Linked DNA regions of Mus musculus. The protein of the gene in region 3 interacts with the protein of the main gene of each other region in a biochemical or structural test. Links are inferred from orthologs where the notes say so. Each region holds a gene or a part of one and is shown on either strand. Other genes may lie near its edges.

Region 1 (2,371 bases), on a different chromosome or scaffold from region 3:
TAAAAGTATGTTGGGTTGGATGTTTAGAGGAGTGCTTGACAAGGGCAAGGCCCTGGGTTGTCTTGCGTGTAAATGTACACACAAGCCAGTCTCTTAACACTATAAGCTTTTCTGTGGTTCAGACTAGTTTAGAAAGCTAGGAGTTGCATATTTTATCCACGTCAGCTGAACCTTTAAAATTGTACCTCATTTCCAGTGTCACGTGTATTAACATGTGATATGCTTAGATGTATTATTTATATTGGTAATAACAAAACTTTCCTAGCATGGACGAAAGCACATCTTTAGTTCCATCACGATAGGTACTGGAGTTCTAAGTCTAGCACTAGGGTGGCAAGGGAGGCAGCTAAGTTTCAGGCCACCCTGGACTATAAGGTGAGAGCCTGTTTCAAAGAGCCAGCAACAACGAGGAAGTGCACTCTGCTCTTAGCAAGTTATATCTATTTATCCACATTCTGTAATGAGCAGTGAGGAGTATAAAGTAGAAAACAGGCACCGTGAAGATTTAGACAATTAAGGTAAGCACGGAATGACTTTTAATACACCAGACAATGTTAATAAGACACAAGTCAAACAGACAAGTGCAAATGTGTTTCAGACCAAAGTTAATAGGAAAACAAGTGAGACATTTCCCTCCTTTTGGAGGGCAGCATCTACTAGCCAAATATTGTTAGTCAAATGGCTATTCACAGGTAAAATGTATTTTGTGGAAAACTTGGAATAGTCAGAAGTCATTCTGGTATTTTTAAACAGCTATGTACAGTATTACCAAGATCAGTTTATATACACAAATATTGAAGAGAAACTGGGCAAAACATTTAAAAATAGGCTAACCATACAACCAAGTACAAGACTTGACAGGAGGAAGGAAACATGTTTTAAAGACAGGGGACATTATAAGAAAAATTTACAAAACCAGTAATAATTATACTACATTAATACAGCATTCAAACAGGGAGGGGTAGGTGCACTTTTTCAATGCAGTAGCTTCAAAGTCCAAAGAAAAAGATGCGAAGCTGCTTTTCATGAAGAGCAGCTATATATTTCACATAATTGTTCTGAAAGAAAGCCTATTAACAACAATGATTGTTTAATGCTAGTTTTACAGCAAGAGGAAACTAAAATAGCAGCAAATTCACAAGGCAAGGCCTCCACAGAATGACCATCCCATGGCGCACACGATGCCTAAAGTGCTCCCAGTTGGATATACAAGTGTAATTCACATAGAAAAAAGAAACGCAAGACTGACACAGGTACATTGGAGGCAGAGGAGTACTGAGTCTCTGAGCATTTCCCTTTTTGAAGGGAGAGGATGTTCGCAGTAAAGCCCTTGAGTCCTTTCTAGAGGTCACAACCAGGAAAGACACCTTTCACCACACTGCAACAGTGAATGAGAAGCAGCACACCACCACAGTGGCGCACCCCGCAAAGGGGGCTGGAACATCCAACAGTGACCCACATCCTACATGAAACAGACGGGAGATGAGACAAAAGCCTGACAGAGCCAAGTCAGAATACAGCTCTCAACTGTAATTCTCAAAGTCACAGAAGGCGTTACGTTTTAGGAAAACTACTGATACCAATGGGCAAGTAATCACGAAGTGGGCTCTAGCAGTGATTCCAACCTAGCTTCCTCTTGTCACAGTTTTTTCCTTTGAGTGGGGAAGGGCTGGGGAATGTGAGCAGTTCAGTATATAGTAAGGCTGACAGAGCGGTTCATTTTCTTTCCAATAAGTCGAGAAGTTCTATTACTCTGGGTGGTGGATCTAGTGGCCATCCGATCTGTGAAGAGTGCCCGTTCCTCAGCTGCAACTTTGGCTGCCATTTGGGCTTTCTTGAGTTCTCTACAAAAATAAGAAGGAAGCAAGACTTTAATTTACCTACTGCATTAATTCTATGGAAAGAGTCTAAGAAGCCAAATACAAACTCAAACATTGTGCTGGCTAGTTTTATGTCAATTTGAAACAAACTATAGAGTCATCACAAACTAGGAGCCTCAATTGAGAAAATGCCTCTACAAGGTCAGGCTGCAGGCAAACCTGTTTCTATTTATTTATTTATTTATTTATTTTTTTGTTCCTCGAGACAGGGTTTCTCTGTGGAGCCCTGGCTGTCCTGGAACTCACTCTGTAGACCAGGCTGGCCTCGAACTCAGAAATCCACCTGCCTGCGCCTCCCAAGTGCTGGGATTAAAGGCATGGGCCACCACTGCTAGGTGCAAACCTGTTTCCCAATCAGTGATTGGAGTGGGAGGGGCCAACCCATTGTGGGCGATAACTCTTGATGCATTATAATGGTATATGACACACCTGGAGCTGGTGAAAAGATTCATCAGCGATAACACCTGCCACCAAGCCTGACAACCTGAGTT
Region 2 (2,925 bases), on a different chromosome or scaffold from region 3:
GGGGCTGTTTGCTTCCCCGCCCCGGGAGTAAGTTTTTGCTGAGTGGCCACTGTAGATCCCCACTTGCTCCCTCCCTTTGGCCTGAGACGTCAGGGCAGTACAGGGGCACTGAAGGAACATGTCACGACTCCTCATTTCCAGAATCATCATCATCATAACAGTCGGCATCTTCTTCCTCTTCATCTTCATCATCAATGTCGTCGTCATACAAGTCGTCATAAAGCAAATCTGAGCTGTTGTCATTGGAAGGCACTTTAGTTTTGATGCAGTATTCTGCCAGGGTTGTGGGGACCTTCACTCCATCCTTCTCCGCCTCAGCTTTAGTGGCTGAGACCTGTTTCCTGCACAGGACAACACAGGAAAGGTTTATAGGTCTGTTTTGAGAGGGTCTCACACTACCCACACTGCTCCACCTTCGTTTCCTCAGTGCTGGGATTATTAGGAAAGCCATCACACTTGGGTTAAGGCGCTGTTTTGAAGACAGTCTTATAACTGAGCATCATCAGATTCCCTGTGACTCACGGTTCACACTCCATACAGAACAGATATCCCACATCACACCACGGCTCTCATCACATACCTTCCTGTCATGGAGGGGCTTTGTCCTAATACTTCAGCCTTGTTTGAGGTAAGATCTCTCTTGTTCGCTGCTGCAGAAATCAGGTTAACTAGCTCAAAAGCATTTGAAAGTTCTGCCTTTTGCCTCCCATCTCTTGCTAAGGGTTGAAGGATTACAGAGGTTTTATATGTGAGGTCTGTTTTCTAAGTGCAGGTTCAGGTTTGCAGGGGTGCTGGGAAGCACACACTGTGCAGCTGAGCTATGGGCCCAGCATCTTTTTAGTGCCTGTCATCTGCTAGGTTCCCCCAGAGCACCAAATGTCATTGTTTTTGAGGTGGTAGGGGCAGAATGCCAGGCAGGAGCTTGCAGCAGAGCCACACCCTGCCTGCAATCCTACTCACACCTACTACTGCCTGGCTCCCATCACAATGTGCCCTGTCTTCCTCAGGCTTTTCCATTATCCTGTGCCGGCTTGGCAGGTAACAGCTCTGCAACAAAATGTCGCCTGTGTAAGTGTAAAACTTTCTTGCCAAAGTACAAAACCCAAAGCCATTGAGATTGGAGAAACTGAAAACATAAGAACACCACTTTCCTGAAGCTTCAGTTTGTTGCCAGGCCTTACACAGTGATGTTCTTGTAGCTTCTATAACACAAGTCTCCATAGTTTACATTAACTATTCCTTTACTCCTTCATCTGATTCATTCAGCTCAGCGGCTGACCACTACAACCAAGCAGGGCACAGGGATGTGCTCTGTAATCCTAGGACCTGGGAGGCAGAGGCTCGATCTCTGTGTTCAAGGCTAGCCTGGTTTAAACTGCACCCCCCCCCACTACCACACACACACACACACACACACACACACACACACACACACACACACACACACACACACGACAACCAAAACAAACCCAGAAGAGAAGGTCTGCTATCCTGTCCAGTGAATTTTTTACTGTGTCTTGTTTCTGTTGGGGTTCTCTTGCAATAGCTAAATTCATTAGGTTACTCCGTAAATATAATTGAGAAACTGTTTTAAAGTAAACCGATTATTGAAGTCTGACTTGAATCCTTTAGTTCCAGAGTGTACATGGTCTGCCTTACCTAATGATCTCAGCATATTCCTTGTCTTTTCCTTTGCTGTCCCTCCATTTCCTGAACATGACTGAAGCATCCACATTGGCTGGAGAAAAGGTGTTGGGCTCATTAAGCAGTGAGATCACACTTAACAGGATAGTCCTGAGAAGGAGAGAAGGTTCACTGTTAAAGTCAGTCCCCACTGTCCAACAGCACAGGCTTTAAGACATCAGTCTCCCTTAAAATATTTCTCATACAAATATGAATACAAATATGACCTATTATGGAAAATGGATTATACAACTTTGGTTTTAGGGCCAGTGAGATGTCCCAGCAGGTAAAGGTGCGGATGACCTGAGTTTGATCACGGAGATGAAGAGGACAGGAGGAGATCTCCCCACAAAGTGCTTTATACTTTATACCACTTACAGGACACGGCGCATAAATATACACACAGTACATGTCTTTAAAAAAAAGGATTGATTGATTGATGTGAGTGCACTGTTGCTCTCCTCAGACATACCAGAAGATGGTTGTGAGCCACCATGTGGTTGCTGGGATTTGAACTCAAGACCTCAGGTAGAGCAGTCAGTGCTCTTAACCTCTAAGCCATCTCTCCTGCCCCGTAAATGTCATTTTTTTTTTTTTTAATTATTCTTTAGGACCAGAAGCCACTTCAGCTGCCAGAACTCCAGGTAAGCCACCCATGCATGACCACTGTGTCATCACACTGACTCTCCCCAATCCCTCTCCTCCTTTCCTTTTCACTGTGTCTTAGGCCAAGTCAGGCAGAGCCTCTTTGCTGGATCAGAGCCCTGAACTCAGGTGGAGACACTACACCCCCACCCCTCGCAGCTCAACACAGGCCACAAATAACAGAAACCAAGAAACAAAAAATACCCATTCAACAAAGACACACTCAGAGATCAAATGGTGCTGCTCTAACTGCGTGTCTACGTGTACAAGAATGCGAAGAGACCCACACCTATCACATAGTACAAAACTCAAGTCTAAGCGGATTAAAGACCTAACATAAAGTCAGATACACATTGGCTCGGGAGACAACATCCTGAACAGAACATCAATAGAGCAGGCACTGAAATCAACAATAAATGGGACCTCAGCTGGGCGTGGTGGCACATGCCTTTAATCCCAGCAGAGGCAGGCAGATCTCTGAGTTCGAGTCCAGCCTGGTCTACAGAGTGAGTTCCAGGTCAGCCAGGGCTACACAGAGAAACCCTGTTTTATAAAACCAAAGGGGGGGAAAAAACAATAAATGGGACCTCATGAAAC
Region 3 (3,500 bases):
CTGTCCTAGCTACGGAAAGGAGACAGGTAAGAACCATGAGCTCTGTGCACAAAGGGTGGAGGAGGTGGTGGGGATGTGCTCTGGGAAGGCAGCTGCTCACCTGATGGTGTTGTCAGAGGAGCCGCTCACCACCAGCCTGTCTCTGTACTGCAAACAGGCGATGCCACGCTTGTGCCCATTTAGGGTCCTTACGAATTCACAGGTACTTGTGTTCCACACCTGAGACACAAAAGCGACAGCTGAGCAGTAGATCGGGTACTTCTACTAGTAAAAACAGGAAGCGGGCGATAGAAGAGACTCATCAGAGGAGGCCAATGCCTCAAAGAAACAGCAATGGAAAGCAAGAGCCAGAGTGACACAGGACGAATGGGAAGCCGGCTGCTGTCACATGAGACTGCCCAATGATTTGCTCTATGAATTAGCCTCCTTTCCTGAGTCTGCATACTTAGTGTCCGCCTTAGTTCCTTCCACCTTATTTTTTATGTGTATATGTAACTGCTTGAGTTTGTGTGTACCACATGTGAGCCAGAATCCAGAGGCCGGAAATTGGGGCCTCTGGAGCTAGAGGTCCAGATGGTTTGGGCCACTATCGTCATGCTAACAACTCAACTCAGGACCTTGGCGTCCTTGACAACCCCTCTACCTCATTCTCCTAGACAGGGACTTTGAATACAAAACTTACTATCTGGCTAGAACGACTGGCCAGCGACCACAGGGTTTGGCATCGCTCCCTTCTGAGCAATGAGATCACTACCTCATGGTGACACATCTGGCTTTCCCATGGCGGTTCTCACGCATATGCGGCAAGGCCTGTTCACACTGGCCGTTTCCCCAGCTCCAGTACGGATGTGTCCTTGAACTTAACTTTGGCTTGGCTTTCGCCATGCATGCCATCACTGCCATCATCAGTGGCACTGTTATCTTTCCAATCTGGCTCTTGGGCACACCAGGTAAGTGCCGTCATTAAGCTACACCTCCAGCCCATAACCATTGTTTATAGAAATAAAAATTGAATTTAATTATTACAGTATCCTACAACAAGGCTTGTGTATACAGTTGCCCTCAATCACGCTTTTACACAAACTCCTACTGCAGCTTGTGAACTTACTGAAAAGTGACCTGTTACCTTTATGGTTCTATCTCCAGAGGCAGAAACGATGTACTTGTCATCAAAGTCTACAACATTGACCGCAGCTCGGTGTCCCACCAGCACCCTCCTGAGGGTGATGTCAGTTGGGGAAGCCATATCCCACACAGCGATGGAACGGTCTTTGGAACAGGTCACCATCATGCCATTATTGAAGCGCAGGTGCAGAACGGCTTCACAGTGGTGAATCAATGTGTTTAGCATCTCACCTGCATTTACATCCCACACTCTGAAAAGGACACCCAGGAATCAGATGGTACTTAGTACAACGCACGGCCTATTCTTGACCACCAATGGGATAATCAATCAATCAATCAATCAATCAATGCATGTCACCCCTGCTTTCTTTTTCTTTTGGAGACGGGGGTTTCTGTGTAGTCCTGGCTGTCCTGGAACTCACTCTGTAGACCAGGATGTCCTTGAATTCACAGAGATCCGCCTGCCCCTGCCTTCCAGTGCTGGGACTAAGGGTGTGCACCATCATGCTTGGCTCACCTCCTGCTTTCATGGCAAGTGCTCTTGTTCTGCATGCCCCAGGCAGGGTACACAGGAACCATGAGGAAACACCATGGTTCATGTGTACAGACAGGAAAGGCAGGTTTAGTGGGTGCTTCTTGTATAGTGCCCAGAGAGGAGGACATAGGTAGTCACTGTCACCTTATAATTTGGCCCAAATTTTTGGGTTATTATTTTAACACTGACATTCAATAAAAAAGACACATATAAGCTAGGAATCTCATGAAGAACAGCAGTAGTATCTGTCCCAGTCACTGCACTCTGGGCCAAGATGTTTCACACAGACTTAGCAATGCGGACTTGACTTTCACTGTCCTAAACATTAGCTTTTCTTCCTACACAGACTCTAAGTTAAAGGCTCCAGTTTTGTGCTTTTCAGGGGCAAGTTGGTCAAGATGAGCCTTCCTTCTCACCCTAAGCCCATGCTTCATGGCAGTGGAGACCCTTGGCGAGCTGGAGAACTCTGCCGAGATAGAATTACCTACATTACTCTCTATTTGCATATTGACTTTATGTTTAAAAGCACTTTGTTTCTCCTTTGCAGCTTACCCTCCTTTTGGAAAGTTATTTTTTTGTGCTGTAGTGTTGCTAAGAGGTAGAAGGCTATTTAGACGATTTGGGTTCAATCCCTAAACTGCCAAGACAACAACAGACATCATCTCCCCTATTCTATAAACGACCTAAGCCTCTACAGTGCTGCAGCTCCTGTGGCCTCCAAGCCAGGAGAAGAGTCGACTGCCAACACCTGCCAGGGTGGGCTCTGCTGTGCCTGCAAGTGAGAGGAACAGGCTTTGCTGTTCGCAGAGAACTGACAATGCAGACAACTGCCGTTTAGTCTACGCTTGTTTTTTTAAACGTTACTTTTGATGTATTACTTTGGCTAAATCCTTTAGCTTAAGGTGAAATTCCTAGCAGGTTTCCAGCAGTGCTGCTGGTACCCTGAACTCAAGCTACACTGGACTCCAGCAGCATAATGGCTGTGTCATCAAATCACCAGAGCCTCTGGAAATTGAGGGCTCCCTCCTTGAGTAAAGCTTGCAATTAAACACTGTGGGGATGGCAGGGGAGGGCTGGCAAGGAGCGAGTCTTGCTCACCTGTATCCACTTGAAAGAGCGCCTGCATACCTGCACTGCAGTTACAATCACCTGAAAGACAGGCTTCAGTCCCTTCCTGCCATTCCCCTGAGCTAGCTTCATAAGGAATGTAAGGCTTCCCATAAAGAGAGGGAAGTTCCTCTACAGGTGTACCTCCAAATTAAAATCTGTGTGTAGCTTCTTAAATGTGCCAAAGTAGATTCTACCCAATGGGTCCCACATCAAGTGTTGGTTCCAGAGCGACAAGTAACTGACCAGAAGCTAACAGCTTATTCTTTGGTTTCAGAAAAGAATCACCGTGACACAAAGTGGAGGCTTAGCGTTCAAAGGAGCAGCAGAGAGTCCCTACCTGACGGTGGAGTCTGAGGAGCCTGTGATGATCACCCTCTCATCGTACTGCAGACACAGGACGGAGCCCGTGTGGCCCGTGAGAATCCGCTTGCATTCCAGTGTGCTTTTATCCCAGATCTAGGAGGGCAAACGAGACCCTTTTGATCACTGTCATAATAGGGTGCTGTGGAGACTTGTTGTCCTGTACATGTGTGACCCCCCCTGCCCCAACATCAAAGCCCAGAGAGGGCGAGGACTGCATTCTTTCCTACAGGTAGAGCTAAGCTCCTGGATGTGTTGACTTCAGTTCTAATGCTAACTTTATCCTTTTTCATCAAGGTGGAAGAGTAGCCTATAATTACGAAGGCCCAAATAACAACAGCTCCCATCAGCACACTTCTAGAAGGGAGTC
Region 4 (3,500 bases), on a different chromosome or scaffold from region 3:
AGGCCACATGTCAGGAAGAGGCCATGCCCTGTACACACTGCTTTAAGAGCCTCCCAAGTACACAGACTCCTCAGCACAGGAATGCACCTACTACAAGCCTGGCTACTAGGTAGAGGACACTCTGGTGAAGGCAGAGGTAAACCAGGAGTGGCCACTGTTTCTGGAAAGCTGTTTCATAACCTGTTACAGCACTCAATGACACGTCCCAGGAAAGAGGAAGCAAGAGAGTCAAGGTCCTTGACACAGTCAAGGTCCACTCAAGAGCCTGGTCTGGTGGTACAAGCCTGTAAGCCTAGCTACGTAGAATTCTGAGGCAGGCTGGGCGTGGTGGCGCACGCCTTTAATCCCAGCATTTGGGAGGCAGAGGCAGGCGGATTTCTCAGTTCGAGGCCAGCCTGGTCTACAGAGTGAGTTCCAGGACAGCCAGGGCTATACAGAGAAAGCCTGTCTCGAAGAAAGAAAAAAAAAAAAAAAAGAATTCTGAGGCAGAGGGATTATAGGTTCAAGACCTGCCTAAGCTATAAAAAGAGCTTAAGGCCAGCTTGGATTTTAGGAAGCCCTGTCTCAAAATAAAAGGTAAGAGTGGGAGGTGGCTCAGTGGATAAGAGCACCTGCTGAGTAGACAAGAGGACCTGAGTTCAAATCCCCAGAATGATAAAAAGCCTGTAACCCCAGCACTGGGGGGAGGGGGTAAAACCAGGAGGATTGTTGAGAGTTAGGCTGACAGCCACAAGTCCAAATTAAGTGAGAATCTCTATCCCTGTCTCAAGGGAATTAGGTGGAGAGTATACAGCAGAATGTGTAAGCCCTCCTCTGGCTACACACACACACACACACACACACACACACACACACACACACACACACACACACGCGCGGACACACACACACACACGTTTTTTAAGGGCTAAGGGCTGAAGAGAAGTATCAGTAGTTAAGAACACTTGTGGCTGTTGCAAAGAATCTAGGGTCAGTTCCCAGCACCAATATGGTAGCTCACAATCATATACGACACCAGCTCTAGGAGATCCAATACATTCTTCTGATGTCTGTAGGCACCAAGCATGCATATGGGGTACACACATACATATAGGCAAAGTGTTTTCATATAGACTTTTTTTTTTTCAAGATAGGGTTTCTCTGTGTAGCCCTGAAATTTGCTCTGTAGACCAGGCTGGCCTTGAACACAGAAATCTGCCTCCCAAGTGTTGAGATTAAAGGTGTGCATCAATACCACCACAGCCTGGGTCAAAATAAACTTCTTTAAAAGTGGGGTAGGGAGCAGTGAGATGGGTCAGCAGGTAAAGGCACTTGCTGAATAGCCCTGGCAACCTGGGCTCAATCCCCGAAACTCCTGTAAACGTGGCAGAAGAGAATTGATTCTTTAAAGTCATCCTCTGGCTTCCACATGCATACCATAATAAAAAACAAACTAACAAATAATAAAATGTAGTGAGAGGGACTGGGGATAACCCTTACTGGTAGAGGGTTACCTAATATATGTGAAAGATCTAGTTCAGTCTAGTACAGCAACATAGGAAAAAAACCACACATACTCCAGGCTCCTGGATCAGATGTGGTAAGGACTCAAGGGAGAACAGGAAGGGAGGAACAGAAGGGTGGAAAAGTGGTCCATTGCCCAGCAAGAGCCAGATGAGAAAGCTGGAACCCCCGAGCAGAGGGGAGTGCAGGAGGGATGAGGGCCCTGTACAGGGAATGGGAAAGAGATTCCGGTCCACTGAGACAGATGCTAACAGCTGCCAGGCGGAGCTGGTGGCCACCCTGGACCAGGAGGCAGAGGAATAACCAGAAAAGATCATGAATGCAGAGACAGAGGAAAGACTGCTGAAGGAGGGCAATGGACCCCAGTGGTCGCCAGCACGGGAACAGGATACCAAGTGCTTGAGTGTCACCGAGAGTGTAGCTTAAACAGTGTCCTCAGATTTTAAGGATGCTACTAGACTGGGCACCAATTTTGTGGAGGTGCAGCCATGGCTAAAAGATGGTCTGATGATGTGAACAGAAAGAAGACCATTGTAAGATGTGTTGTCTACAGCAGGAGAGTTAAGCTCAGCTCCAAACTATCATATGCAACAAGATGCTCTAGCACTCAGCACCAGGCAAAGATAGCCTAGGGTGGGCGCCGGCTGACCACTGACCACAAGGGCGGGACAGAGCTAGGACTCACATTCGTGGTCCACGCTCAGACGAGAATTCACAGTGGAAAATGAGGATGATTCTCTTGTCCAGGCTACAAGGCATGATGGGACGCTGCAGCAGAAAGGTCTCAGCATCCCGTTCCAGGGGCAGGTTCACAGCATTCTGTCAGAGGATCTGGGGGTCAAGCCGTAGCCTGCACCACGCCCCTTCTTGTTCGGTTCCCAGGTAAGTAACCCCACCTCTTGCTGGGCAGAATCCTCCCCATGGGAAATTCACCATGGAAGGTTACTATTCATCTTCTTGGCAAGGAGTCTGAATGGAGGGTCTGGCCTTACCAGCATCTGTCTCACCTTGATATGCCCGCCTTCATACTCATAGGGGTATCTGCAGTCCACAATGACAAATTTCTCCACGATGTTGCTGAACTTGCCTGTTAACAGGGCCACCATCTGTAGGAGGCCATTAGAGTTGGTGCCAGCAGGTGAGGCTGGTAGCCAAGGTTTTCCCTCTCTTTTCTGATGGTCTGTGCATGCAGCCCAACCCCAAGGGAAGACAAGAGCCAGAAAAGGTGGTCCCCAATGCACCTGGAGAGTGGCTCAACCCTGCTTACAGTTTCTGGTGAGATGTACTTAAGGTCTTGGTGTTTGCCATCCACGGTCTGCAGGAGGAAGGCCTGAAGGGGAGCATGAGTCAGAGTCAGGGAAAGGAAACATGGCGAGGGGCGAAGGTTGGAAGGACAGAGGCAGCACCTGCTTTGACCTCCAGCTTCAGCTCTGAGTGGAACCTCTGGGGGCCCATACCCAGGGAAAGAACCTTCTGCAGGTGAAAGAGGAAGGAAAAGCCCTGGACTTTCTTGCTTCCTGCTCTTGGGTTTGAAAGCCAGGGCTGAGGCAGGAGACTGCATACCGGAGATTCATTTGGAAATGTTTTGCCTGGACAGATTTGAGGTGGCATCAGAAAGGAAGCCAGAGGGAAGAGTCTGCATAGGAACAAGAATGGAAAGATACAAGAGGGAAGAGGGGACCTCTGGGACAGATAGCTCCTGCACTAGGGGTCCAGAGCAGATGAAACAGAAGCCTCCTGCGGTCCTAGAACGCTACCTTAGAGTAATCTCCGATCAGTCCACGGTGGTCACTATCCAGGATGTTCTCAATCTCATGACACAGCGACTTTGAGCGAAAGACACGGGCCTTCTGGAAAGCATGGCAGATGGAGGGTCAGGGAAGAGACTGCCTCTCAGTGCTATTTGGTTGAGACCTTCTTTCTCTGCCACTTAAACTACCTCCTGCCCACTACCCACTGCTACACCTCTAGCTAAGAGGGTACACCCAGAGCATCTT
Region 5 (4,288 bases), on a different chromosome or scaffold from region 3:
AAATAGAACAGAGCATGGTGTTCAGGTCTTATAATTCCAGCACTTTGGAGACTGAGGCAGGGGGATCAAGGGTTTGATGCTATCCTGGGCTACACAGCAAGATTCTACCCCAAACAATAGTTTTGTTTACCAGAGAATGGACCTTGCAAAGTACTAAATGCTCTACTTTTGTGACCCTAGCAGGTTCAGAGCCTAGTCTTCAGGAATGTCAAGTAACATTCACAGCAGCATATGTTTTGTTATATACTGACACTTCCTGAAGATTGTGACAGTTATCGTAGACACAAGTACCTGTATCTTCCAAAAGGCAAATCCAAAGATACTTCAACAAATGTGTATGGCCGCGGAAGCCATGACTTCCCAGTCAAGCTATGTTGAAGTTTACAAACTAAAAACGAAGAGACACAGTGATGACTTTTAATGAACATGGTAGACCAGCTCGGCCATTCAAATATGTTTAACCTCCTCCTCTTTCTCCTCCTCCTCCTCACCCCCCCCTCCTCCTCTTCTTCTTTTAAAGATTTATTTATTTTATATGTGTGAGTACACTGTCGATGTGGCTGTCTTCAGACACACCAGAAGAGGGTATCAAATCCCATTACAGATGGTTGTGAGCCACCATGTGGTTACTGGGATTTGAACTCAGGACACCTGGAAGAGGAGTGAGTCAGTGCTCTTAACAGCTGAGCCATCTCTCCAGCCCCTAACCTGCTCTTCTAACGGTTTATTGTATTGCTTGCTTTTGTCAGTTAAGCTGTTTTTGGTTTTAGTTTGTTTTATGAGACAAGGTATCTTCTTATCCCAGTCTGGTCCAAACTCATGATCATCTTCTGAAGTTCTGGGAACATAAGTGTGTCGCCATGCCTGCCAAGATAGAGTTGTTTTAAAAACATAACCTAAAACTGAGAATGCTCTTGCCTGCTTGCCTGAGACAAGTTACCTCACCCCTCCGAGTTGCCTTCCCGACGTAAAAGGAATGATATGGGAAACACAAGAGGGTAGCAATTTATCTAAAACATCTTTAATGCAGCAGATGTGGACAAGTGATAGCTACAACTAGTGTAAAAAAGGGATTAAGAGCATTTAGGTAGGAAACCAAAGTAATGAAGCCAGGTTCTTAGTCTTTTTGAACCGCAGGGCAGGATCCTTTATTGACTCCACCATAGGGTAGTAGTAGATGGTCTATAGGGAAAGGGATCAGGTAGCCTGAAATGCCCTTCAGCAATATCCTCAACTGCTCCGTTTTTGAGTAATCTGTTCTCATTTTTATTCTCTACAACTCTAGTATGGAAAATGGAGAAAAACTGCAACATTCCCCAGCATGAGTTTGGGAGTGAAAAAGGAAATATAAAAGAGGAGCGAAAGGCTCAACCTCCTGCAAAAACTCAGGGCTCAGAGCTCCGCCCCGATGTTTTTATTTTTCTCCTTGTCCCCGCCCCCCGACCATGAGAGAGCCCAGGCCACGCCCCCAAGCCGAAGTTCCAGACCCGGACTCGCCGACTTCTCCTGCTTACCCGCAGGGATTCCCTCACCAGCCAATCGCGTCTGAGCCACGGCACCGCCCGGAACAAAGATGGCCGGGGCGGCCTCGGGGAGGGCACATTGATCCAAACGCCAGGCGCACCCGCCGGGACAGCAAAGGCAGAGTGGCAACCGCGCGGTCAGGAACATGGAAGAGGGCAGCAGCGGCGGCAGTGGTAGCAGCGACAGCAACGCCGGCGGGAGCGGCGGGGTGCAGCAGAGAGAGCTGGAACGCATGGCTGAAGTCCTAGTTACGGGAGAGCAGCTCCGGTAAGGAAAGGCACTCAGTAGATGGGCTCTCGATTGCCCTATGCCCGCCGCGGTCCGGAGCGCACACGCCATCTGGCTCGTGGCAGGCGTGTCGCGCGGGGCGTAGGGACAGTTGCGAGCGAGTGGGATGGTTGGGTCGCGCTGCACGGGTGCCTGGCTACTGCAGCCCGGAGGCTAGCAGCTTCAGCCAGGCTGCGGGGACCGATGCCGGGAACGCGCGGTGCAGGCTGCGCCCTAGCTGGACTGCTGCAGCCATGCGTCCCTCCGACTCGCCACCACTCAGTGCGTGCAAACCCCCTTGCCAGGTGTTCCTGATGACTGTCTAGTCTGCTCGCTCCAAAAAGAAGAGATTTCGGATGGGACCCCAGTCCCTGCGCTTCCAGATAGAAGGCTCCAGCACCCATGAGTGCCTTCGGTTCAGCTTTCCTTTTTTTCTAGCAAGACATGCTTCCCTCATTGGAGCTTCAGGTTACTTTTATGTAAAACCTGGAGCATATCTGCGAGTGCTTTGACGGGTTGCTTCTCTTCCAAAACCTTTCCCAGTTCTTTACCTATCCCTTGATTGGCACACTTGGTTTCAGGTGTCACTTGGGTCCGCAAGGGGGCGTGAAAGTACCTTGTTCAGTGCCCACGTTTGGGACCCCGGAGTTGGCCCACCGCCGCGCACTTTTCCTAGAATTACCACTTTCCCATCTCACAGATCCAGGAACAAGCACTTACCCCCAGGGCTCTTTTGACATTCCCATCGCTTCCTGTTCCTTTTTCTTGGGCATATGCTTAAGACTTGTGCTTCCGCAGCTGCCTTGATATTGGGGGTTGTAAATCAGATTGCCACTCCAAATGAATCCGGCTCTGCCAGAACTTGAACCGCGAGCCCAGTCCCACCTGAAAGAAGTGTGCTAGCTCCCTCTAGCTCTTGGCTTGATTTTTCCGGCTTATTTCGGTTTCTAGATGGCTGTTTCCAGACTGGAAGGAGAGTGTTACAGAGGTTCCTGGAGGTCTGGTAAAGCACTTGGCTTTGCAGTGTTCAGTTTGAGGAAGTAGCTGTTGGCAGTCAGGACGGTGGAGTCCAGTGTGACAGAAGGAAAATCACGCATTTCAGTTCCTCGTTAAATCTCAACTGTGTGGCCAAAATTGAAGGGAATTAAAAACCTGTTTTCCTTCATCAAGAGTATTTTGTAATGGAGATGACGTAAAGTTTTTCTGATTTAATTGGACTTTCTTAATAATTTATTGTTTTGTTCTTTACTATATTGCTGTTTGAAAAGGCTTTGCTTGGGTGAGATTCCTTGCTTTTTGTTTCTTTTACAAACATCATTAAGACCCCCAGTCACTTTCTCCTTCTCGATAACTGCTCCTGAAATGCACATTCTTCAGCCTCCCCTGAGCGCTCGCAGGCTTTCCCACCACAAATCTGCAGACCTGGGACTCGGGCTTGGTTTTCTATTCCTCCGCCATGTGGCCAAGTGTTACCGTGACTCTGTTTTGAGGAAGGCTTTGAACCTGACAGAATCCTGGCCTTGCCCTTGACTTGGCTAGTGTAGAGCCTGGGACAAAGATGAGTAACACTAACTTTTACCTGGTAGTGTTGTTATGAGGATTATGTGGCGTTAGTGCAGGCACCGGTGGGTGCTGCTACGCACTATATGATCACTAGCCAGGGTAGCCATGTTTGGACAAATTAATTTACTCGTCTGAGCTATTTCCTCATCTGTAAAGTGGTCATGAAGATGAGAGTATTTCATGGGGTGCTTCTGAGATTCTGACTTCTGGGCTTCCTGTGTTAGTTAGCAATCCCCAAGGGCCTGCAGGAGTTAATTGGTGTCCCTGCTCTCTCTGCACCACCACTTTTGACACAGCCCCTCTGGTAAGATGTGTCCAGAGGGCCTGTGTGTTTGTGAAGGACGGAGGATGTCGGTCCAGGCTACTCAGGTTTTCCTTCCCTCTGCCACCACCACTTGTGGCTTCCAGCTTCTGCCATGTGTTCCTTCTGCGACTTTGGAACAATTGACTTGCTCTTTTGCCTCAGTTTCCTTTTTATAGAAGGGAGAATTAAAAGACAATTGGCTTACCATTTTGGGAGGGCTGAGATGTCACAACCAAATTTGAATTTGAGGGTATGCACCTGCAACCCCAGCACTTGGGAGGTGGGGACTGGAGAACTACAAGTTTGTGGTTAGCCTGCCCTACGTAGTAAGTACTAGGCTAGCAAAGCCCTGCCTTTAAAAACAAACAAACAAACAAACAAACAACTCAGAGCAAATATTAACCATTTAAATTTGATTTGAATTTCACTTTTTGTTTCAATTATTTTAAAGCAAACTTTAAAAGCTTACTGTAGGCGGGGAGAGGCAGGAGATATGTGTGCCAATGTAAAAGGTCAAAGAGCACATTTCAGGGGCTGGTTCTCTCCCTCCCAGTTGGCATAAGCCCCAGGATCAAATTCAAGGTTGCCAGGAGTTCACAACAAGCAGCTGTAACTACTGAGCCACCTCTC
Region 6 (4,264 bases), about 790 kb from region 3:
GCCCGACTCACCTTCCACCAGAGGGTAATATGTGAACTGTTTGGAGTCCGAGACATCGCCCCCACGCTTGCGTTTCAGCTGCAGGAACACCGTTACAGGCCTCTCGATCTTCATCTTGTGATAGGGCGGTGTCCGGAACACAATGGCATACTGGGGTGGAGGATGGGAGAGCAACATGGTGTCAGTAAGGTTTCTTCGTAGTTCTGTCTCCAGGACAGGCCCTAGTCCCTCAGTACCTGTTTATGAACGTCTGTGGGAGAGAAGTCCCCAAAGGCTTGCCATCCATTCTCATCATCCTCATAGAACCGAACCTCAATGTCGTCTACAGAGAAAAGTGCGGCTTAGCCACAGGGAGAGCCTGCAGCCCCGCTGCATGGATCCCGAAATTACCCTTACAGCCAGCGTTTCCAGCTCCCAGAGGGCTTCTGCCTCACCTTTTTGCACCTTATCACAGAGCAAATAAACTTCGTCTCCACCGCGCACGGAACCCGCTGTCTTGTCCATTCGGGAGATCTTCAGGTTCGAGGCCCCTGGAGACTCTATAAGGTGGGGGATGGGTTAGGGACACATTGATGGGATCGGAGGCTCGGTGGGGTCATTATCAAACTTCAGGAAATGCAGTATTCACATTTACCACTCAGAAGCAACACTCAGATGTTCTGACTACCGAGCACTCACCACCCCACACGTGGCAGGGCCAGGTTCAGACCCATAGCTGGAAGGTATCTCAAGCGCTCTTTTGGGAATGCATGCTTGGCCCCCTGCAGAATACTCACTGCTGTCATGGATGGGCTGGGAGATCACAGGCTTCAGGGGCAAGGAGAAGGAGCCATCGCTAGCTCGAAGGAAAGCTGAGAAGCGCAGCCGTACAATGCTCAGATCCATGACTTTCTTCAGCTCCTTGGCCTCCTGCTCTAGCTCCCGCCGCTCAGCCTCTGGATGGACAATGTGGGTGGTGTGAGCTCTGGGCTGCTCTTCCCGGCTCCTCTAGGAACACCTCTCGGAACACCTTTTGTTACCATACCTGTAAGGCCCTGAGGCTTGGAGCGGAGACGCTGCCTCTGAAGTTTCTGGATCATAATCTCCATCATGTTCTTCTTGGTTACATGCAGGACACCCAGATTATTAAATCTGGAGAGGACAAGGAGGAGGCTTTGTCCTCTTTGACCATGAGGCTCTTTCCTCCTGAGGCACCTCCACCCCCACGCTCCACCCCCCATGGTCAGGCTCATCCTGGCTCTGTTCTCCAAGGAAACTGCTCTTTATAGTTGAGCTCTGAGGTTCCTGGGCCAAAGTAAATCTTCCCACTTTGTGTGCTAGTCACACAGGTGGCCTGAGATGAGACCTAAGGCTGGCAGGCAATGAGCATCCCACTGGGGGCCAGGGGCCAGGGCCACCTACTGAGCAGTCATGTCCTTGGGTCCTACAGACACAGCGCACACTCCCAACTCTGAACACTGCTTGCCCACCAGACTGTGGGCATGCGCACGAGGTGGGTCACTGTGTGTCACCAGGTCCACCTCAATCTTGGCCGGTCCCTCATAGTTACAGATCTGAGAATGGCAAAGGATAGTCAGTAGTTGCCCCATACACCATCCCTACCCTCCGGTGTCATCTGAGCTCACCTTGACAGTAGGATAGGTCTTCCGGCCCTTCTCACTGGAGGCACCTGGCAAACCTCCATGGGAGGGGCCTTCACAGCCATATCGAAATCTGAAGCCTCGCTGAAGGTTCCATAGCAGAGACATTGTGATCAGGAGAGGCAACCCCCCCCCCCCCCCCGTCATCCCCACAAGGCAACCACTAGCCATCACTGACCACAGTGACCAAAAGTGTACCTCCTTCTCATAAGCCCCCAACATATCAGCAGCAAGCTATTTAATCTGATCAGTAGGTATAACTACCCTCCCCCCCCCCGCCCCACCTTTTCCCCAAAGGTGAAGCCACCACTCTCTGTCACTCACTCACCTGTTTGGGCTGTTCCACAATCACCAGATAGGGGCCATCAGCTGGAAATAGAGGGGCCTTGCTGAGCCAGGATCTCTGAGACCATCCCTCAGTGGGGCCTCCAGGGGACATGCTCACTCTCCTCTAGGTTCTGAGATACTGCGAGGCCAAAGACTTACTGACCTGTCTCAGGGGCTGGATCCTTAGGCTCCACGATGGAGGGGCTGAATTCAAAATCATCATATTCGGGGATGCCATCCAGGCCCTGCGTTATAGACAGAGAAGGTGGCAGCTGAATCAAGGGTCCCCCCAACCACCCCCTCCCAAGCCCTCTGCAGTCACTCCCTGGACTCCTCCTCAAGCTATGAGGAAGCTCATTTCTGGGCAGGGTTTGCAGACAGCACAGACTGGCAGACTAAGACAATTTGAAGACAGTGCAGAAGTAGGGGAGTGGAGGAGCGTCCAATTGACAAGCAGACACAGAGGGCACCCGCCGCCCTCAGGGTCAGGCAGTGTGACTCACTGGATCGTAGCAATTGTCCATATCTCTGGGCTAGGCCCTGCTGTGTCTTGCGGCTTCGGGCCCCGGTTCAGCTTTCCAGAGTTTCGGACGCCCGCCTAAGGTGAAGAGAGGCGTGGGAGGGGGAAGAGTGAAAGATATCAGGATAGGGGTGGGCAGGGGGAGAGGGATGGGTAGGGGAGGGGGGCTCAGATCTGGGGGAGGGTCCGATCTCCTCCAGCCGCCCGTCCGGGCGTGGCGGGTAAGATCCGGTGGAGGTCGAGATCCGGAGCGGGGCTGGCCCGGGAAAGGGGCAGAAAGTTAGTGCTGCTTAGGAAAGTCCCGAAAATACCAGGGGGAGGCGGAGCCGGAGGGGGCGGGCCTGGAAATGACGCCGGGGCCACGCCCCCGCAGCGGGAGGGGCGGGAGGCCCAGGCGGTTCCTGGTTCCCGGGCAGCCTCTGTAGCCCCTGGGGCTCAGTCGGGGCCTAGCCGCCTCGCCCCCTCTCCGCAGCCTGGAGCAAACTTGGGATTTTCAGCCAGCGTGGAGGACACGGCTGATTCACCCAGGGGCTTTTGTGGGGACATTCCTGCCGTCGGAGGCCCCTTTTCCGAATGGCCCGTAGGCGGGGGTTCTTCCAGTGGGGCCTCCGGGGCTCTGACCAGAGAATATGATTCGGGCCTCAGGGTGTGTGTGGGGGGGAGGAGTTTCCCCCTCCACGGTCTCTAGCGATTCCGTCTTAGCTTCCCGGATTCTCCCGCTGCACCTGCTCCCGGTGGCCGGTCAAACGGGAGCATCCCGCCCTCCCTGGCGACTCCAATCCCAAAGCCAGTGTAACGCGCATGTGTCCGTTGCAGGAATATGCGTTTCAGCCCTAATGTCTTGTGTGCCGGGTGAGTGGTGGCATCATGGCACGTGCAAGTGAACGTTCATCCACACAGGTGAGTCCTTGTACTGCCCAGTGTGGGCACACGTCCGTGCACGTCTGGATGTCCGTGCGCAGGCGCCGGTGCACGGGTGCGCTGTGAGTGCGTGTGCGGGGCTCACACCGGCCGGCTGTGCACAGGCAAGCTAAGGGCAGGCAGACGTGTCGCTGATGTGTAGCAAAGTGTCCTGTTCCTGTGCGCGCTCACTGGAGGTGGCGTCCAGCCCCAGCCTGTCATCTAAAGTCCTCCTTCCCTCCCTCTCCATTCCCTAGACACTCAGGGATCTGAACCCGGCCACTCACCGTGGTGGCGGCTCTGGTTCCGACTTCTTTCCGAGCCCTTCCCCGGACCGGTCGTTGCTCCTCTCCAGCCAAAGGGCTCCAGCCGGGAAAGCCCCTTTCGGCCCCCCGAGGGGGGGAATTCCCGTGACGATCCCGTGCGTCACTCCCCATGCCCTTTTTTATTGGTTGAAAGTTTAACTCCAGGACTCTTGTAGCCAACCCGGAGCAACGCAGGCGCGCCCCTTTCGGGGAAGGCTCGCCCAGGACTGGCCGCGGGGTGTCACCCAGCTCCAGTTCTGCTAGGGACCAGCGAGGCGGGACGACGGACCCAGCGCAGGGCGCGGCTCAGATCTCTGCACTCTTCCAGGCTTGCCCGGGACCGTTACGGAGTCCAGTGGGCCACTTGGCTCTTGCTGTGCCCAGAGGTTGGCTATCTCTGAGACACAGGAAACCGGGTCAGTCCCAACACTCCAGTAACCCTCCCAGAGAGGGACCTCCTAGCTGGGAAGGGGAAGAGGAAGGAGTCAGATCTTGCGGTCAGCTCCAGATCGCCATCTAGCGGCCTTTCTGGAGCCGCAAGGAAACTCTGGGGTCAACTGTCTTAGTTTCCG
Region 7 (3,500 bases), on a different chromosome or scaffold from region 3:
GTAGGCCAGAGCCAAGTACACTTGTTTAAACTCTGATATATATAGTACATGGTGGAAATGACCACGTTCTGCTAAGTGTGGAAGAGATTCTCTCAACATGATTCTTCCTGATGCTCATCAATGTTTCTACTGCAGTTGGGTGATTTTCAGGAGCACGGTAAAGCTCAGGCTTTGCTGTCCATGTAGACAAATGGCCTTGGCTTTTCGTAGGATATTATTGTTTGGTTTGTGTTTGAGTGGAAACCACGAAGGAGTTTTAGGCCCATCAGACTCTACTATTATCTCAACCATTTACTTAGTTATAGGGTAAGGTGCTTAACCTGGACTGCAATCACATCACATAAAAATAAGGCTAATGGCGTGGCTCTCATTATATGTGACTGACAGTAAATATTAGAAATGATATAGTTATCCAAAGTTATGTAAGTCACTCCTTACATAATTGTCCTGAAGTTTTGTCTTTCCTAAGGGAAAACATGAATTTTACTCTTAGAGGCTACAACTTTCCAGAGAAGAAGTTACTCTTAGGGAAAGCCTTGTGGAATTGGAGGGAAATAAATCCTCTAACCTGAATAAAACCATCCCCAAAGATTCCCAAGTACTGTGTGATTTGCATGTGGGGTGGCTAATGTGAATATTTAAAAGCCTCTGTGTCTGTCTGAAGTGTCCTTTCTTATTTTGTTTGACTTCACTCATCCAACAGGGTTGCTGTTGCCAAGTTCGGTGTAGTTTGAGCTTGGTTTATTAATGGGCTCCTGCTTATGAGGTTTAGAACCGTTTAATAGTCACAGGACATGAAAGCTGTTTGAGCCGTGGGCTTTACAGTTTTCTTTTTATGTGCACAGAGCGCATGGCACCCATGATCACCGGAAATCTGGAGAATCAGACAACAACCATTGGCGAGACCATTGAAGTGACTTGCCCAGCATCTGGAAATCCTACCCCACACATTACATGGTTCAAAGACAACGAGACCCTGGTAGAAGATTCAGGTGAGTGAAACTTGTCTATTTCTCTGGTTGTAGAATTTTTCTGATGGATGCTAGGTAAGACTACCATCACTTATTGGCTTGTTTCAAAGTAGACAGAAGGCAGTATTTAGGGGACTCGAAGAAATGACTCAGTGAAATGCTTGCCGCACTAGCACAAGCACTGCATTCTCATCTCTAGAAGCCAGGTAGAAAGCTAGACTCAGCATCCTTCTGGAATCTCAGTACTAAGGGGCAGGGTGGGGGGATGGGAAGGCAAATGCCTCCTTGGAGTTCACTTGCCAGTCTAGCTGAGTCATCAAGCTACAGATTCAGAGAGAGAGAGAGAGAGAGAGAGAGAGAGAGAGAGAGAGAGAGAGCCTGTCGCCAAAGAATAAGGCAGAAAGCTATAAAGCAGCCACCTCACATTGACCTCTGGCCTCTATACACTTGCATGCCCTCCCGTGGAACACACAAATGTGGGTACAGGGTCTGGCTCATTTCAGAGTCACAAGCAGCTTGTTTGGAGTCCGGTTGAGTTTGCATGTAGATCCCATGGGAGAGCAGTCAGTAGTCAACCTTGTGCACCTCTTTAGAGTTAGGTAATGGTCTGAGATAAAGGGCAGCAACTAGTTTTTATTTTTAATGCCATGGACAAAGCATCCCATCAGAAATAAAGCAAGAATTTCCTTCTTCCTTTAGGCATTGTACTGAGAGATGGGAACCGGAACCTGACTATCCGCAGGGTGAGGAAGGAGGATGGAGGCCTCTACACCTGCCAGGCCTGCAATGTCCTTGGCTGTGCAAGAGCGGAGACGCTCTTCATAATAGAAGGTCAGTGTGATGTCATAGGCTCATCAGATGGTCTCTGGCAATTCGATCGCATTGGACATAGCTGCACATACTTTGAGTAGGATGCCTTGTGGGTGACTCATGGTGACACTGGTGGTTGTTAAGCCTCGTCTCTGAGATGTTCATTTAAGTGTCACACAAGTGTACATAGCCTGAAGGCAATTTTACACAATATTTTTCAGTGTACCTACCTTTTTTGACTGGGATCTGTCACATGAAATTAGGGGTCGGTGCTCAGAAAGTTTTAGATCTTATTCGTCTGTGAGGTCTGAGTTACGGTTTCTCCACGTGTTCTTTGTAATCTATCTTCAATGGCTCTGCGTCCTTTTAACCAGAAAGCAAAATTAGCACGCGCTTCAGTCTGTACCATATTTTCTGTCCACGTAGTCATCACTGTGAGAAAACTATTTGCCATGAGTAAGAAATGCCTTTCTGTTCCCGATTCTCACTTTGTTTGAATGGTTAACTCACAGAAATGACACTTCAATATATACCTGGGGAAAAATAGATTTGGTGTTGGGCATTGCTATTCAACTAGTGACAAGGATCAAAGGTTCAGGATTTTCCCCAGAGCAGAGACAAGATTCACTCATAAACAATAGATGATTAATAGGTGATTGCTTTTGTGATATGGACAATCCGGGGTTATAATTGAAATATGAAAGGAAACTTCGTTTCCCCTGGCTGTGCGTGTGCGAGAGAGTGTGTGTGTGTATGAGTGTGTTTTGTGTGTGTGTGTGTGTATGGGTGTGTTATGTGTGTGTGTGTGTATGATCGATATGAACCCTAACCTTTGTTTTTCAGTCAGTATTCTGTGTCAGAACATTTCATCTTCAGAAGAGCGTTCCTGGATCTTGTTTTTGTAATACACTAAGGGAACAATGTGACTCTATTGTGTGAGTGAAGGAGTGGTGTGCAAGGGGGTGACTCAGGGTGGTTAGAGAGGTAGGTTTGGCAGAATTCTAACATCTCCAAGTCTAAATGTTGGCCCCTTTCATCTGCCCAACTCACCATGTCCAGTGCTGCATCTAGAGCCACTAGCATGCTCTCAAATCTCTAAGATGGTTAGGATTCTATAAACTGCACCTGCAACTGAAGATGCCAAAGTGCATGGTAGTTCTGTCACTACCAAAGTGGTTCATGGCTTGGTGCCAAATCCAGGGAGGATGCACCCGCCAGTTCTCTCTGGTACTCTGCCTCCACCCACTAGCCATCTGCATTAGGTTATCATGCCTATGTGGGCACAGTGGCATAGATACTATGGAGACAGGAAAGGGGTGGGGGGGAGCGAGAGAGAGAGAGAGAGAGAGAGAGAGAGAGAGAGAGAGAGAGAGAGAGAGAGAGAGAGGAAGAGAGGAAGAGAGGAAGAGAGGAAGAGAGGAAGAGAGAGGAGAGGGTAGACATTGAATGCTTCTACAGAAGTTCAGCTGTCAGATGTTAATATGAGACTATTCACACATAAACTGATTGAGACCATTGAATCTTTGACCTTTCTTCTGTCTCTTACATGAGTAGGCTTTTAAGCCTTTACATACAGGTAGAACCATTACTTCTCTGGAAACATCAGAGAAACCAAATCCACTTACAGATGCACTCAGAGCTCACTCCCAACTGGTAACTCTTATTTTGCCAACTAATTAATTGCTTGTCTTCTGGCTTCTGGCTTCAAGCCTCCCAGCT

The links.
Region 1: of the proteins of Btrc (region 3) and Wee1, one has a biochemical effect on the other in vitro, tested with the Homo sapiens proteins (2 studies listed by BioGRID, with this or other methods). The link is inferred for Mus musculus from reciprocal best matches to the Homo sapiens genes BTRC and WEE1.
Region 2: the proteins of Btrc (region 3) and Ube2r2 form a complex in vitro, tested with the Homo sapiens proteins (2 studies listed by BioGRID). The link is inferred for Mus musculus from reciprocal best matches to the Homo sapiens genes BTRC and UBE2R2.
Region 4: the proteins of Btrc (region 3) and Cdc25b form a complex in vitro, tested with the Homo sapiens proteins (2 studies listed by BioGRID, with this or other methods). The link is inferred for Mus musculus from reciprocal best matches to the Homo sapiens genes BTRC and CDC25B.
Region 5: of the proteins of Btrc (region 3) and Deptor, one has a biochemical effect on the other in vitro, tested with the Homo sapiens proteins (3 studies listed by BioGRID, with this or other methods). The link is inferred for Mus musculus from reciprocal best matches to the Homo sapiens genes BTRC and DEPTOR.
Region 6: of the proteins of Btrc (region 3) and Nfkb2, one has a biochemical effect on the other in vitro, tested with the Homo sapiens proteins (2 studies listed by BioGRID, with this or other methods). The link is inferred for Mus musculus from reciprocal best matches to the Homo sapiens genes BTRC and NFKB2.
Region 7: the proteins of Btrc (region 3) and Kdr form a complex in vitro, tested with the Homo sapiens proteins (2 studies listed by BioGRID, with this or other methods). The link is inferred for Mus musculus from reciprocal best matches to the Homo sapiens genes BTRC and KDR.

What each region holds. Positions count from the first base shown.
Region 1 is NC_000073.6:110,141,429-110,143,799, reverse strand, and holds the end of Wee1 (wee1-like protein kinase), read right to left. Parts: intron 1,845-2,371; coding exon 1,688-1,844; 3' UTR 501-1,687; downstream 1-500. UniProt on the Homo sapiens protein: Acts as a negative regulator of entry into mitosis (G2 to M transition) by protecting the nucleus from cytoplasmically activated cyclin B1-complexed CDK1 before the onset of mitosis by mediating phosphorylation of CDK1 on 'Tyr-15'.
Region 2 is NC_000070.6:41,188,021-41,190,945, reverse strand, and holds part of Ube2r2 (ubiquitin-conjugating enzyme E2 R2), read right to left. Parts: intron 1,795-2,925; coding exon 1,660-1,794; intron 342-1,659; coding exon 122-341; 3' UTR 1-121. UniProt on the Homo sapiens protein: E2 ubiquitin-conjugating enzyme that accepts ubiquitin from an E1 ubiquitin-activating protein, and catalyzes its covalent attachment to other proteins by an E3 ubiquitin-protein ligase complex.
Region 3 is NC_000085.6:45,513,734-45,517,233, reverse strand, and holds part of Btrc (F-box/WD repeat-containing protein 1A), read right to left. Parts: intron 3,227-3,500; coding exon 3,108-3,226; intron 1,377-3,107; coding exon 1,127-1,376; intron 220-1,126; coding exon 101-219; intron 1-100. UniProt on the Homo sapiens protein: Substrate recognition component of a SCF (SKP1-CUL1-F-box protein) E3 ubiquitin-protein ligase complex which mediates the ubiquitination and subsequent proteasomal degradation of target proteins. Recognizes and binds to phosphorylated target proteins.
Region 4 is NC_000068.7:131,193,448-131,196,947, reverse strand, and holds part of Cdc25b (M-phase inducer phosphatase 2), read right to left. Parts: intron 3,354-3,500; coding exon 3,261-3,353; intron 2,834-3,260; coding exon 2,771-2,833; intron 2,610-2,770; coding exon 2,511-2,609; intron 2,323-2,510; coding exon 2,189-2,322; intron 1-2,188. UniProt on the Homo sapiens protein: Tyrosine protein phosphatase which functions as a dosage-dependent inducer of mitotic progression. Directly dephosphorylates CDK1 and stimulates its kinase activity.
Region 5 is NC_000081.6:55,110,829-55,115,116, forward strand, and holds the start of Deptor (DEP domain-containing mTOR-interacting protein), read left to right. Parts: upstream 1-1,488; 5' UTR 1,489-1,669; coding exon 1,670-1,791; intron 1,792-2,511; exon of another isoform or gene 2,512-2,754; intron 2,755-4,288. UniProt on the Homo sapiens protein: Negative regulator of the mTORC1 and mTORC2 complexes: inhibits the protein kinase activity of MTOR, thereby inactivating both complexes. DEPTOR inhibits mTORC1 and mTORC2 to induce autophagy.
Region 6 is NC_000085.6:46,304,231-46,308,494, reverse strand, and holds the start of Nfkb2 (nuclear factor NF-kappa-B p100 subunit), read right to left. Parts: upstream 2,801-4,264; 5' UTR 2,492-2,800; coding exon 2,471-2,491; intron 2,213-2,470; coding exon 2,131-2,212; intron 2,010-2,130; coding exon 1,969-2,009; intron 1,725-1,968; coding exon 1,626-1,724; intron 1,554-1,625; coding exon 1,402-1,553; intron 1,132-1,401; coding exon 1,025-1,131; intron 936-1,024; coding exon 777-935; intron 540-776; coding exon 435-539; intron 323-434; coding exon 237-322; intron 151-236; coding exon 12-150; intron 1-11. UniProt on the Homo sapiens protein: NF-kappa-B is a pleiotropic transcription factor present in almost all cell types and is the endpoint of a series of signal transduction events that are initiated by a vast array of stimuli related to many biological processes such as inflammation, immunity, differentiation, cell growth, tumorigenesis and apoptosis.
Region 7 is NC_000071.6:75,954,456-75,957,955, reverse strand, and holds part of Kdr (vascular endothelial growth factor receptor 2 isoform 1 precursor), read left to right. Parts: exon of another isoform or gene 1-591; intron 592-845; coding exon 846-992; intron 993-1,670; coding exon 1,671-1,802; intron 1,803-3,500. UniProt on the Homo sapiens protein: Tyrosine-protein kinase that acts as a cell-surface receptor for VEGFA, VEGFC and VEGFD. Plays an essential role in the regulation of angiogenesis, vascular development, vascular permeability, and embryonic hematopoiesis.